2 linked regions of the Macaca mulatta genome follow. The protein of the gene in region 1 purifies or fractionates together with the protein of each later gene. This does not show direct contact. Links are inferred from orthologs where the notes say so. Each region holds a gene or a part of one and is shown in the gene's direction. Other genes may lie near its edges.

The links. The genes of interacting proteins can lie anywhere in the genome.
Region 2: the proteins of DIS3L (region 1) and EXOSC7 purify together in Homo sapiens (affinity purification with mass spectrometry; 3 studies listed by BioGRID and IntAct, counting the BioPlex papers as one, with this or other methods). This does not show direct contact. The link is inferred for Macaca mulatta from reciprocal best matches to the Homo sapiens genes DIS3L and EXOSC7.

Annotation. Positions count from the first base shown.
Region 1 is NC_133412.1:43,767,100-43,773,059, forward strand, and holds the start of DIS3L (DIS3-like exonuclease 1), read left to right. Parts: upstream 1-2,193; 5' UTR 2,194-2,246; coding exon 2,247-2,385; intron 2,386-2,468; exon of another isoform or gene 2,469-2,744; coding exon of another isoform or gene 2,745-2,832; intron 2,833-3,626; coding exon 3,627-3,780; intron 3,781-5,960. UniProt on the Homo sapiens protein: Catalytic component of the RNA exosome complex which has 3'->5' exoribonuclease activity and participates in a multitude of cellular RNA processing and degradation events.
Region 2 is NC_133407.1:108,316,425-108,322,131, forward strand, and holds the start of EXOSC7 (exosome complex component RRP42), read left to right. Parts: upstream 1-2,329; 5' UTR 2,330-2,533; coding exon 2,534-2,779; intron 2,780-3,231; exon of another isoform or gene 3,232-3,473; intron 3,474-3,531; exon of another isoform or gene 3,532-3,565; coding exon of another isoform or gene 3,566-3,622; intron 3,623-5,707. UniProt on the Homo sapiens protein: Non-catalytic component of the RNA exosome complex which has 3'->5' exoribonuclease activity and participates in a multitude of cellular RNA processing and degradation events.

The DNA of each region.
Region 1 (5,960 bases):
AACCAACCAACCAACAAAAAGGCTCTCTTGTCCATTTTAGCTCATTAGTTCCAAGAATTAAGGAATCATGATTTTTAAAACATAATTTATACATTATTGCCAAAATGCAAGCAAAGGAAGCGCTTAATGGACCTCGAATTATTTAAAATACTAATAAAGCCAACTTTCAATAGAACCTCAGACATACTCTCTTCCTTAAAAGATCATTTGTCCCAATTTGAAGAAAGTTTAAAGCTACCAAGTGCTAAAGAGCGATCTTATGGGCATATTAGTATCTAATCAACACCCTCCCATAACCTGGTGTAATCAGAAATAAAAGAAAAATGAACATGGGGGAGCTTTGGAGGGAACTGTGGGCAGCTGCCTGGAACATACTTATGTAGGGACAAATCTGGCAACTTGACTGTCCTCTGGGCTCTCTAGAACTGGCCTCCTGAGTTAGGGACAGCCTCCTGCACTGATGGTTGCCTTACAGGCCAGCTCTGTGCTGTTTTTGTAATTCGTGCAATTCCACCTCAGATCTCATTCACATCAGCTCACACTGCAGGATAACTTGACGTGGAAGTACAATGGGTGGGAGATGGTGGCTCTCTTTAATGCATTCCCCTAGAGTGACAAGAGCCATCCAACAAAGCATCCTCAGTTCTGCCTGCTTCAGCATCACAGGAAATCTGATGTTTCCAGCCAGCTGGTTGAGCTGCCTTAACTAGAGCTCACCAAGCAGACTATAAAGTCCCTAAATGCAGGACCTGTATTTTACTCATCTGTGAATAGCACGGTAATTACTTACAAGCCTGCTTTGAATTCAGTCAGATTCTGGCTTGAATATTGATCCCACCACTTAATAACTGGGTAACCTTGGCCACTTAACTTCCCTAACCCTGCTTTATAGTTTATAAGATAGGAATGATAATTCCCCATTCCTTTGACTTGTGGAAATTAAATGGGACACGTATACAAAGCTGCTAGTGCAGCTCAAAAGTCTTAGTTGAGTGCTTGGAAGAACAGTGGATTCTATCCAAACAAGGGTATGTGATCTCAGAAGAGACCGTGTGTATCTCTTTATCAAGACGTACAGGCTGGGCGTAGTGGCTCACGCCTGTAATCCCAGCACTTTGGGAGGCTGAGGTAGGAGGATCACTTGAGCCCAGGAGTTTGAGACCAGCCTGGGTAACATAGTGAGACACTCCCATTTCTACCAAAAAAAAAAAAAAAAAGAAGAAAAGAAAAGAAAAAAAAAAGCTAGGCGTGGTGAAGATCGCTTGTGCCCAGGAGTTCGGGGACTGCAGTGAGCCGAGCCGTGATCATATATTACACTCCAGCCTGAGTGACAGAGCAAGACCCTGTCCAAAAAAAAAAAAAAAAAAAAAGCTATTAATACAAACATGTATACGTTTGTGATTGTGTCACAGTGGCAGTTTAAAGGAGAAATCCTTTGCCAGAGGTTGCAAAAGCTATAAAAGTTAGAGTGGAACAGTGCTTCAAGGGAAGAGATTGGTTTTCATTTTATCTGCATTGTTTGAATATATAAGTACATGATAACTTCAATAGGGATACCAAAACAAATAAATAAATTTTAAAAAGAACATGAAAGGCCAGGCGCAGCAGCTCACACCTATAATCCCAACACTTTGGGAGGCCGAAGCAGGTGGATCGCTTGAGACCAGCCTGGCCAACAGAGCAAGACCCGCCCCCCTCACCCCCCTATAGAGATAGACAAAAAAAGAAAAAAACTTTTTAAAAAGTACATGTAATTTAAAATGAATACAACTTTTTAGAAATGTTGGGCTGGCAGGGTTGCCGGCTTATTTGGTGAGTCTTTCACCTCGTTTGGAGATAGCGAGAGCAACGAAGAGAAAACATTAATTACCAGGTATTGGTATTAATACGGCGGCTCCATTCCCACATGGACCTGGGGGGACAAAAACTCCTAATCTTGGACAGCTGCGCCCAGCCCTTCTTCACCTGCGGTCCAGGTATCATCCTAGTCTTCCCTCCGTCTCTGGGGTGGGTCGTTTCCAACCCTCCGCCCTGGTCCAGGCCACTGAGGGAAGGGAACAAAACTAAGGCCGGGAGGGCCGGGCCCCAGCCTGGAGTGTGTGGCTCCGGGCCTCCCCCGGGTGCGGCAGTTACGGCGGTTCCGGAGCCGCGGCGCCCAGGGCCGAGGGGCGGGCCCGAAGCCGCGGCCTCGCCTCCGCCGCGCCGGCCGCTCCCGCCGCTCCGCGGCCTCCCGGAGACACGCCGCCATGCTGCAGAAGCGGGAGAAGGTGCTGCTGCTGAGGACCTTCCAGGGCCGCACGCTGCGGATCGTGCGCGAGCACTACCTGCGGCCCTGCGTGCCCTGCCACAGCCCGCTCTGCCCGCAGCCAGCCACCTGCAGCCACGGTCAGGGCCGGGGCGGGGACGGGGCCGGCGGGAGCGGGCGGGACTGGGCGGCTGCGGTGACGGGGTGAGCGCGGCCCAGAGGCGGAGCGCCAGCGGCGGGGACACCGAGGCGTAGGCCCCGCGGCCTGCGCCCGCCCGCCGGCCTCACACCCAGCCCTCTGCCGGTCGGGACCCAGCGGCCCAAGTCCGCGGCTTCCGGGGTGCCCCGCCCGGGACTCCCCGACTGCTCCGCTCTGTCCAGTGGGAGAGCCCGAGAGACCCGCACCCCATCCCGGAGACCGGGTGGCTTGGCTCCTCAGAGGGGCCCAAGGGCGCGGAAGCCGAGCGTTCCTCCCGCCGCAACCTCGCGCGGCGGAGAAATGGGGAGGTCCCGAGCCGGGAGCCCCCGGGAGCTGCGGGCCAGCTGCTGCCGCTGCGAAGCTGACATCATCTGCTTTGCAGCCACAGGTTTCCTGACCTACCCGCACTGGTGCCCCAGACTTTCCCGCCCGTGGAGAGCCTCTTCACCGTAGTTTTGTGAACTATCTGGGCCCGCACTGGAGAGGAAAGTCACGGGGAGGTTGGACTGGGGACTCCTGGGCCCCTGTCCTTGGTTTCTAGGCTGCAAGGGTGGCCGATAGAACGATGCGCGCGTTACTGGCTCTCTTCCCCCATGGGAGGATGAGCATGGGATGGGGGTCCTTGTCAGCGAATGTTTGGAATCCTCCAGACATTGTGATTAAGATGAACATTTCAGTTAGAGCTTGGCTAACCGGCTCTCAGATACGGGCCTGGTGGAAACCCCACCTCTGCCCGTTGCTTGCACGGATCATTTTCTCCATTCAATCTTTCTGGCTCTTGGAGGCTGCTGAGCACGTGCAGAAGCTTGACACAGAGCCAACTTGAAATTGCTGGGCATCATACACAAGTGGTATAAATGTGGGGGTGCTTCATTTGAATGTGTTTGTCAATGATGAGGTAACACTGAAATATTCAGGTTATGCTGAAAATGTGCTTGTTCGTTGTTAAATCAGTCATCCTCTCCGGCACCTCTGGCAACACCATAAACCACGTTGAGCTTGTATTTATTACAGCTTCAAAAAAAATTAGGGTGCTCAATATACCTGAACTTTGGGTCTTTTAAAAACTCCCACCGTGGAGTTAAGACTGGAAGTTATTTTGTATGCCAGAGCACCGTGACATTTAAATAAACCAGGTTTGAAAACATTGTCTAATCTCTTACATTTTGAATTATGTTCCAGATGGGAAACTCTTGTCTAGTGATGTGACTCATTACGTGATCCCAGACTGGAAAGTTGTTCAAGATTATCTTGAGATCCTTGAGTTTCCTGAATTGAAAGGAATTATTTTCATGCAAACAGCTTGTCAAGCAGTGCAGCATCAAAGAGGCCGGAGGTATACGTTTTGCATTCTTTATTTCTATATGGCATAGGTTCCCCCCCACCTTAGAAAAGCTCCCTTGTTGGAGGAGGATGGGAGGAATTCATTATTTTGTCAGAAAGGACTTTTTAAACTAATTTTGTATTCTCTTTGATAGTGAGGAATGCAGTAACATTATTTTATATTTCTGCTGCAACACCTGGCCAAGAGATCTGACTGTAGATCAATAAACTGCAGTGTCCCCAGTATGTGGGTATTTAAGATTCTAGTGTGAATTGGCTTTTGGCTTGCATTTTTATAGTGGTAGGGTTACTGCTTATTTCTTGTTGATAATGTGTATTATTTAATCTTATTTATAGATACATTGTTTCAGAAGCATACATTCTTTTCTTGGGGAAAAGAGTACTTTATTTTTAAATTTTAGACTCCTTTATTGGAGATGCAAATTGTAATGATTTATTCAGTAAAACCAGAAATAGCTTGTTTTATTTTTAGATTACTAGTGTAACTACCAGCCATAGTCATTGTATTTGCTAAACAAAGCATTTCCAATTGAACCAGTCTAAAATTCTTGCCTTGTACTTAAATGAAGAATAGTTGTCTACTTTTTAAACAAATACCTTAAAAAACGATTTCGCTTCCTTTAATGTTGAGAAAGGTTTATGACTTGAACTTAAGACTGTATGGAAATAGCATATTAGAATTATATGTCCAACCTCTTAACACTCTAAGTTATTTAATAAGCACAAACTATGCATTTATTCTTTTTTAAAATGTTGTGGTTTCTTCAGGCCTTGGTAATAAAAGATGAAGTGTTTTTATTTGTATATGAAAATGACAAATTGTCCTCTTATTATACACTCAGTTCAAAAAATGTACATTAACCAGATTGTGTGCAGGTTTTTTTCAGACAGAATATTTTTAAATGAGCTTCAAGTTGATTTTGTTCAGACACCAAGATATAGATGTTTATACAGATCCAAATTTAAATGCTGCTCCAGGTGTCATATTTCAATTTCTGCTACTAAAATCAATTTGTTGTTATCATTCGGATTGCTAACACACTGCGAGCCTTTTCAACTTCTGTTTTCTAAAATATTTTTAATGTTAAGGATTGTTTTAGAAACCAATTTCTGGGACATTCAAAGACAAAGAGTTGGAATTTAAACGTCTTTTCTCCTGAACATTTCAAGAGTAGTTAACTTGATGAAAAACTATTGGTTTTCCACTGCCTTACCATGTCTTTGAATATACTAAATGTGAAAACAAAAGATGAGGATTTATGAAATAGGGCTATATGATAATACCCTGATTTTGTTTGTTGGGTAAGCACTTTTTAAGCTCTTAGTTCCAGGCCTTGGGGAATAAAAAAGTTGTTTTTTGTTTTGTTTTGTTTTGTTTTCTTGAGATGGAGTCTAGTTCTGTCGCCTGAGTTGGAGCACAGTGGCATGATTTTGGCTCACTGCAACCTCCACCTCCTGGGTTCAGTGATTCTTCTGCCTCAGCCTCCTGAGTAGCTGGGATTACAGGCACCCGCCACCACGCCCGACTAATTTTTGCATTTTTTGGAGAGATGGGGTTTCACCATGTTGGTCAGACTTGTCTGGAACTCCTGACCTCGTGATCTGTCCACCTCGGCCTCCCAAAGTGCTGGGATTACAGGCATGAGCCACTGCGCCCGTCCCAAAAGAAGCCTTAGTTCCTCTCATAACAAGCCTATTATCTTGCTGGGGTTAGATGGAAGAAGCAAGACAGTTATTATGAAGCACCTTAGACACACGAAGGATAATTTAATGTGGACGATGCTAAGTGCAGGAGTAAACGTGGGGTAGAGGGATTAGGCCGGAAAATCCTCTGGGGGAAATGGATTTGAGACTGATCTTTAAGGGCATATTACGAGTATGATTGAAGAAGAGGAAGAAATCGGCAAGTTTGGGCCTTGGCACTTTGTTTACCTGTTAAGCAACCAGCAGGTGCGTTCAGGTTGACATAGCTAAATGACCCAAATTGTCCGAGTGCTAGAAAGTGTCTTTTATTGAAGGCTAACATTAAAATTAATAATAGGCATTGAATACATAAGATCCGGGAGACTTTATCATTATTAATAAAGTTTATTAATTCAGCCTTCCTAAGTGTTAAGTGTAAGTTATTTGACTTTTTTAAATTGACAGATTAAAATTATATATATTTGGCCA
Region 2 (5,707 bases), on another chromosome or scaffold:
TTTATTGTCTTGTTCATGCAGTAGTTCAAGGTCCTGGGCTCCCCCACTATAATAAACTCTAAACTATTTTTAGGCAGGTGCTGTGTTTTGAGTTTCTTATCTCTTTATGCCCATAAGAACACTAGGGACTCACAGGCATGCAAACACTGACTGACTGAAGAGTTTCTAGATATCCTGAGTATGGCATACGGTTGGAATCTGGGTCTCCATGCATGCTACTCAACCCTAGTATCAGATCTATCAGACTTCTTTGCCATTGAGGGCTCTCTCCTTAGCTATCTGGAGTTAAACTCTATTCTGCTCATATATAACCTTTTGCCTTGTTTAAAATATTGGGCTGCAACAGACACAGCAAAGTCCCATCAGCACCACATTCCACGTTCCTCTAGAAAAATGATTCAAGAGATATGAGTTTATGCTTGAACAGACTTCTTGCTTTTGGAATTAAGATTAACTATATAGTTCATGGGACAGTTACTAATGCCATAACAAAATTGGGACTTCCTTCACCAAATACTCTGGTGAATGTAATAAAACTTGGGGGGAGGTTGTGTAAGGTGATGGTTAGGAGTGTGGGCAGGAGAGCTAGACTGCCTGGTCTCAAGTCCTGGTTCTGCCATTTACCAATGATGTAACCTGTGACCCTGGTTAAGGCATTTAACCTCTCTGTGCCTCATTTCCCAATCTGTAAAATAGGGATAAAAATACTTGCATCATAAGGATGTTGCAAGGACCGAATAATTTTTTTTTTTTTTTTGAGACGGGGTTTTGCTCTTGTTGCCCAGGCTGGAGTGCAATGGCGTGATCTCGGCTCACTAAAACCTCTGCCTCCTGCGTTCAGGCGATTCTCCTGCCTCAGGCTCCCGAGTAGCTGGGATTACAGGCATGCACCACCATGCCTGGCTAATTTTGTATTTTTAGTAGAGATAAGGTTTCTCCATGTTGGTCAAGCTGGTCTCAAACTTCCAATCTCAGGTGATCCACCCACCTCGGCCTCCCAAAATGCTGGGATTACAGGTGTGAGCCACCGCACCTAGCCTGGTTAATCTTTATAAAGTGCTTAGAACAATGCTTGGCTTACAATAAGTACTATGTAAATTAGTGTTGAAAATTAGAGTATAAGGTTTTAGAATACACAAACCTACAGAATAGTATGCCCCAATTCATTTATTCATTCAATAAACGAATCTAATAGTGATGGAAAAACAAGATGGTTTAATACTGTGTCATCCTTGACTTCTTGATTTTTTTGGGTTATCATATGTTCTTTGAATTACTTCAATACACTAAAAAATAACTCTGAATTTATGGATTTTAAAGATGTCCAATGCACTGTTACAGCAAAGGTGATAAAAATGTTGTGGCAGCATTTAAGCAGATGATTAGTGAAGATTGTCATTGTTTTAGCAGACAATTTAAAAAGGAACATTCTACTGTTTACATCTCTCTTACCTACTTAGCCTCATATATAAGACATCATTCATAACATTATTTAGCAAATACTGCAGACCCTTGTCCAGTATGGAATTCCTGTCAATTGTGAGGGGTGGGCAGTTCAAATACATGTTCTATATGAAAATCTTTATATAAAGATGACTCCATGGTATCTGAACTCAGGCTTTTCTTCCTGTGTCTTTCTGATCTGTCCATTTGCTGTCACCTCTTAAATCCTTAGTCTCCTCAGATATCCTAGCTTCTAAAATCCCACTTCCAGCGTCTCTCCTTTCTGAGCAATCTCTAGCACATCTAGAAAATGTCATTTATAACATTAGCGATCTCATGTTATCTTATCACACACAGCTCCTCACACAGAACCCAGCTGTCCAACCACACACAAACACACTTATGTGCCACAACAGGTGGGGCACCTGTGCCTTCATTAGGGAGGAAATCCTTCCGGCTTCACCTCTTTCAGTTCCCTGGAAGGCAAAGTCCAATCCTGCAAACTGTCTTCCTTTTAGGTGCCCCTGCAGAGAATTATGTACAGACATACGAAACATCTAATGTCCAGTCTATGAAGAACGGATCATCAATTTTGGAGCTCAGCAGTTTAATGCTTAAGAATGTTAGCAAGTACTTCCTCTCTATAACCTTATCAGACGACCTCCCAATCCCACTGTGCTCACTGATGCCACCATCATAGCTCTAATCACCATGATCTGTGGTTATGTTGGCCCCGGAGCCTTCATCTGCCCAGGGAACTTCTCCCGGCATAGTGTGTTTTACTTGTCTTGTGTTCTAGAGGTAGCACAAAGCCTGTCTATAGTAGGCTCCCAATGGTTAACTGAAACTGTATTTGAAGCCATTATCTGATAATACCAACTTTTTTTTTTTTTTTTTTTTTGGTTCATCAAGCTGATTAGGGTTACTTTCACTTTTGAGAACAGGGAGGGTCCTCAAAAATGGAACATCAGGAAAGTCATCAGACTTGCTTTAACCTGCCTTCCTTGCTTCAACTAATTTGGGTTAACTTTTTCCCATTTATCCACACGGCGCCTTTAAAACTTGCACCATACTTGTCCGCCCCGCCTTAATGAGTTCCTTTGGTGACCCCAGCTTCACCTTGCAGATATCCTCTCCAGGTATCCAATACCCATACTCCCACTCGGCCATAGCAAGGGGTTGGGGTTGGCTTTTTTTCCGGCAACTGCTCACAGCTTCCATCAAGCCGGGGTTTCCAGTTCCCGCTAGGAAGCGTCGGGGACGTCCGGGCACTGCGCACCTCGGCAGCGCCGGTTACCAAGCGCCTCCTCCCCCCTGTCTGTGGGACAACGCTCTGGTAAGCACCCGAGGCAAGAGGTCCCAGCAAGGTACTGGGACAGCGTTTGGTCATAGAGAGTGAGCGAGCCAGCGAGAGATATTCCTGGGTGGAGGGGTGGGGACGCCTTAGGACTAGTGTCCCCCACTCCCGGACCCTTCCCACCGAGAGCTACCTACAGAGGGCTGCATCGCCTCTCCTCTCCTCTTCAGTCATCCTAGGGACTAGAGAAATGGAGGAGAGAAGAGCGGGGAAACAGCACCCCCGGGCCAATCACGACGTCCGCCCCTCCTTAGTCGGGGTCTCTCTCTCTCTCTCTCTCTCTCACACACACACACACACACGAGCTCCTAAGTCAACTCCAGCTCTGAGTAACTACGCCGCACGCCTCTCCCACTGGGAGTCCCCCGGCCCGTGTGGCTCGCCTCACCCCAGCTTCTTCACCCCAACTCCGGTTTCCCTTCCCAACTGACCGTGAAGCCGGAGGCAGTTCCCAGTCCCAGACCCCGGTGGGGCTCCCGCCGCGGCCGCCGCTGCCTTCCCCTGCAGTCCCCAACCCGGGACCCGGCCTCGGGCTACGGCGATGGCTCCTTGGAACGAGGCGCCGCGGCTCTCTGGACTCGGCCAGACACCGGGCGGCGCGCAGGAGAAGCCCATCGAGCTCCCGGCAGTGGCGGCGGCCGCGGCTGCAGGAGCGGCCGCCGCACAGGTTGATGACGCGCTGACGCGGTGGGTGGGACGTGGGGGTGCGGTCCAGAGGAGGCGACGCGCGCAGATGACGTGCGGCTTGCGGGGCTGTTCGGCAGCATGGCGTCCGTGGCGCTGAGCGAGGCGGAGAAGGTGTACATCGTGCACGGCGTCCAGGTAGCGACAGCAGCGGCGTTGGGTCGGCCGCCGGGTTCAGCCTGGCCCTGCGGGTCGCGGCCTGCCCTGGGTTTGCCAGGGAGGAGGCAGCCGAGCTGCGGCGACTGTCCGTTTACCTTGTGATTAAACGGCTCTGCTGCCGGCGTTTGCAGTTCAGAGCTGGCAACGCGGACGTTTTTAGGACTGTTAGCGCATTTGCAGTTTTGCGGGTCTATAACATTCCGAACCCGGGCAGGAAGCGTTGGGCAGTCCCGGAGGCCTTTTCTTAGTGAGAGAGCATCGCCCCCGGGGCCATCCATTCGGCATTCGCGCACATAACTGGTCCGAGCCTCAGTTTTATCTTCGAGGAAATGGGAGTTTGGAGTTGGGCTTCTGGCCTGCTTTTCCTCACCTCGTGGTTAGGAGGGGCATGCTAGGTGAACGCACTTTGTAAATACAAATTGCGGTACAAATAAAGGGGGAAGAGTTTTTAAAAAGCGGCTAGGACGCCTGTAATCCCAGCATTTTGGGAGGCCGAGGCGGGCGGATCACGAGGTCAAGAGACCGTCCTGGCCAACATGGTGATACCCCGTCTCTGCTAAAAATACAAAAAAAAAAAAAAAAAAAAAAAAAAAAATTAGCTGGGCGTGGTGGCGCGCTCCTGTAGTCCCAGCTACTTCGGAGGCTGAGGCAGGAGAATCGCTTGAACCCGGGAGGCGGAGGTTGCAGTGAGATCGCGCCACTGCACTCCAGCCACTGGGCGACAGAGTGAGACTCCGTCTCAAAAAATAATAATAAATAAATTTTAAAAAGCGGCTAGGCAGCCGATAGCGTAAGTGCTGTTTCCATTTTGCCAATGGAGAACTAAGATCCCTAGGCAGCTGTAACCTAATGTCCTCTGTGTTCTATGTTAAACCCCTGGTTTTGACCACTCGAGAACGAGGGTTGAAACATGTGGGACCTGGAAACGAGCTACCCCGTATCCCCCTCTGGCTCTGTCTCCACTTGTTAACCCACGGTGTGGTCCTCCTATCAGAGTTCTTCATCCCATCCTTGGCAGAGTTCTGGCGACAGCCCCTACCTCTTTTCCTCATGCCTTTCTTCTGTCAGTACCAACTGCAAAATCAGTGGTCCCGTGATATAGCCATCAGATTGAAGCAACCAGCTATCATTAAAGTTCCACAACGTGAGTTAAGGACATTTCCATTTATAAAAATCGTGACCTACTGTTATCTTCCGGGCCCTTTATATATGAAGAAATGCCAGTATTTAGCTTATTAAGCCTGGATAATAAAGTCAGAACTCACAGTTGCATATTTTAGTTATAATTCAGGATTAGCAATAGTGGGACATATGTGTGTATTACTTGGTAACATGTGTTATTTGTGTGTGAGGGGTCATAAAAATGCCCAAAAGCAATTAGATCTGTCTTTCCCTGCTATGTTTTTGTATACACTTTGTTCAGGTGATTTTTATCCTCAAAGTATGATTTTTAGGCACACATTAAGGATAACCATTTTCCTCTAAATTTAAAAACCTTTGGTTTTCTTTCTTTGTTACCGCAGCTTAGCGTGATGTACTGACTCTGTCATGTGTCGTATTTTCTCTCACATTTCATCTCTGAAAGTGGCACTGAGGCATGGACATATCTGTAACTTCAAGGTTAGAGATTTCTCCCCAGCATCCTTAATTCCCATGGCAGTTCATTAGCTATCTAGCAGCAGAGTCCCACCATAGTCATAAATCCTTTATTACTTTATAATGAGTAATAAAATCATTTATATTTATAACACACCTGTTATCTGCTGGGTGCTATGGGGGAAGAAAAGACTATAAGCCTCAGTTCTGATCCTTGAGATGCCTAGGATCTAATTTGGGCAAAGTTAATTAATTTTATTTACCAACATATATCTAGCCACTGGCATGTTATGTGGGAAGCAGTAGGGATGCTAAAACATGGTTGTGAAATAAATGAAAGATAGGAGGGAGACAAACAGAGAGTAAAAGTGAATAAAATAAAGACAAAGGTAATAAGATCTATGCCAAGGAAGTGGTATAGTTAGTGGAGGTTGAAGAAGTTAAAGTATACCAGGGGCCCGGCATGGT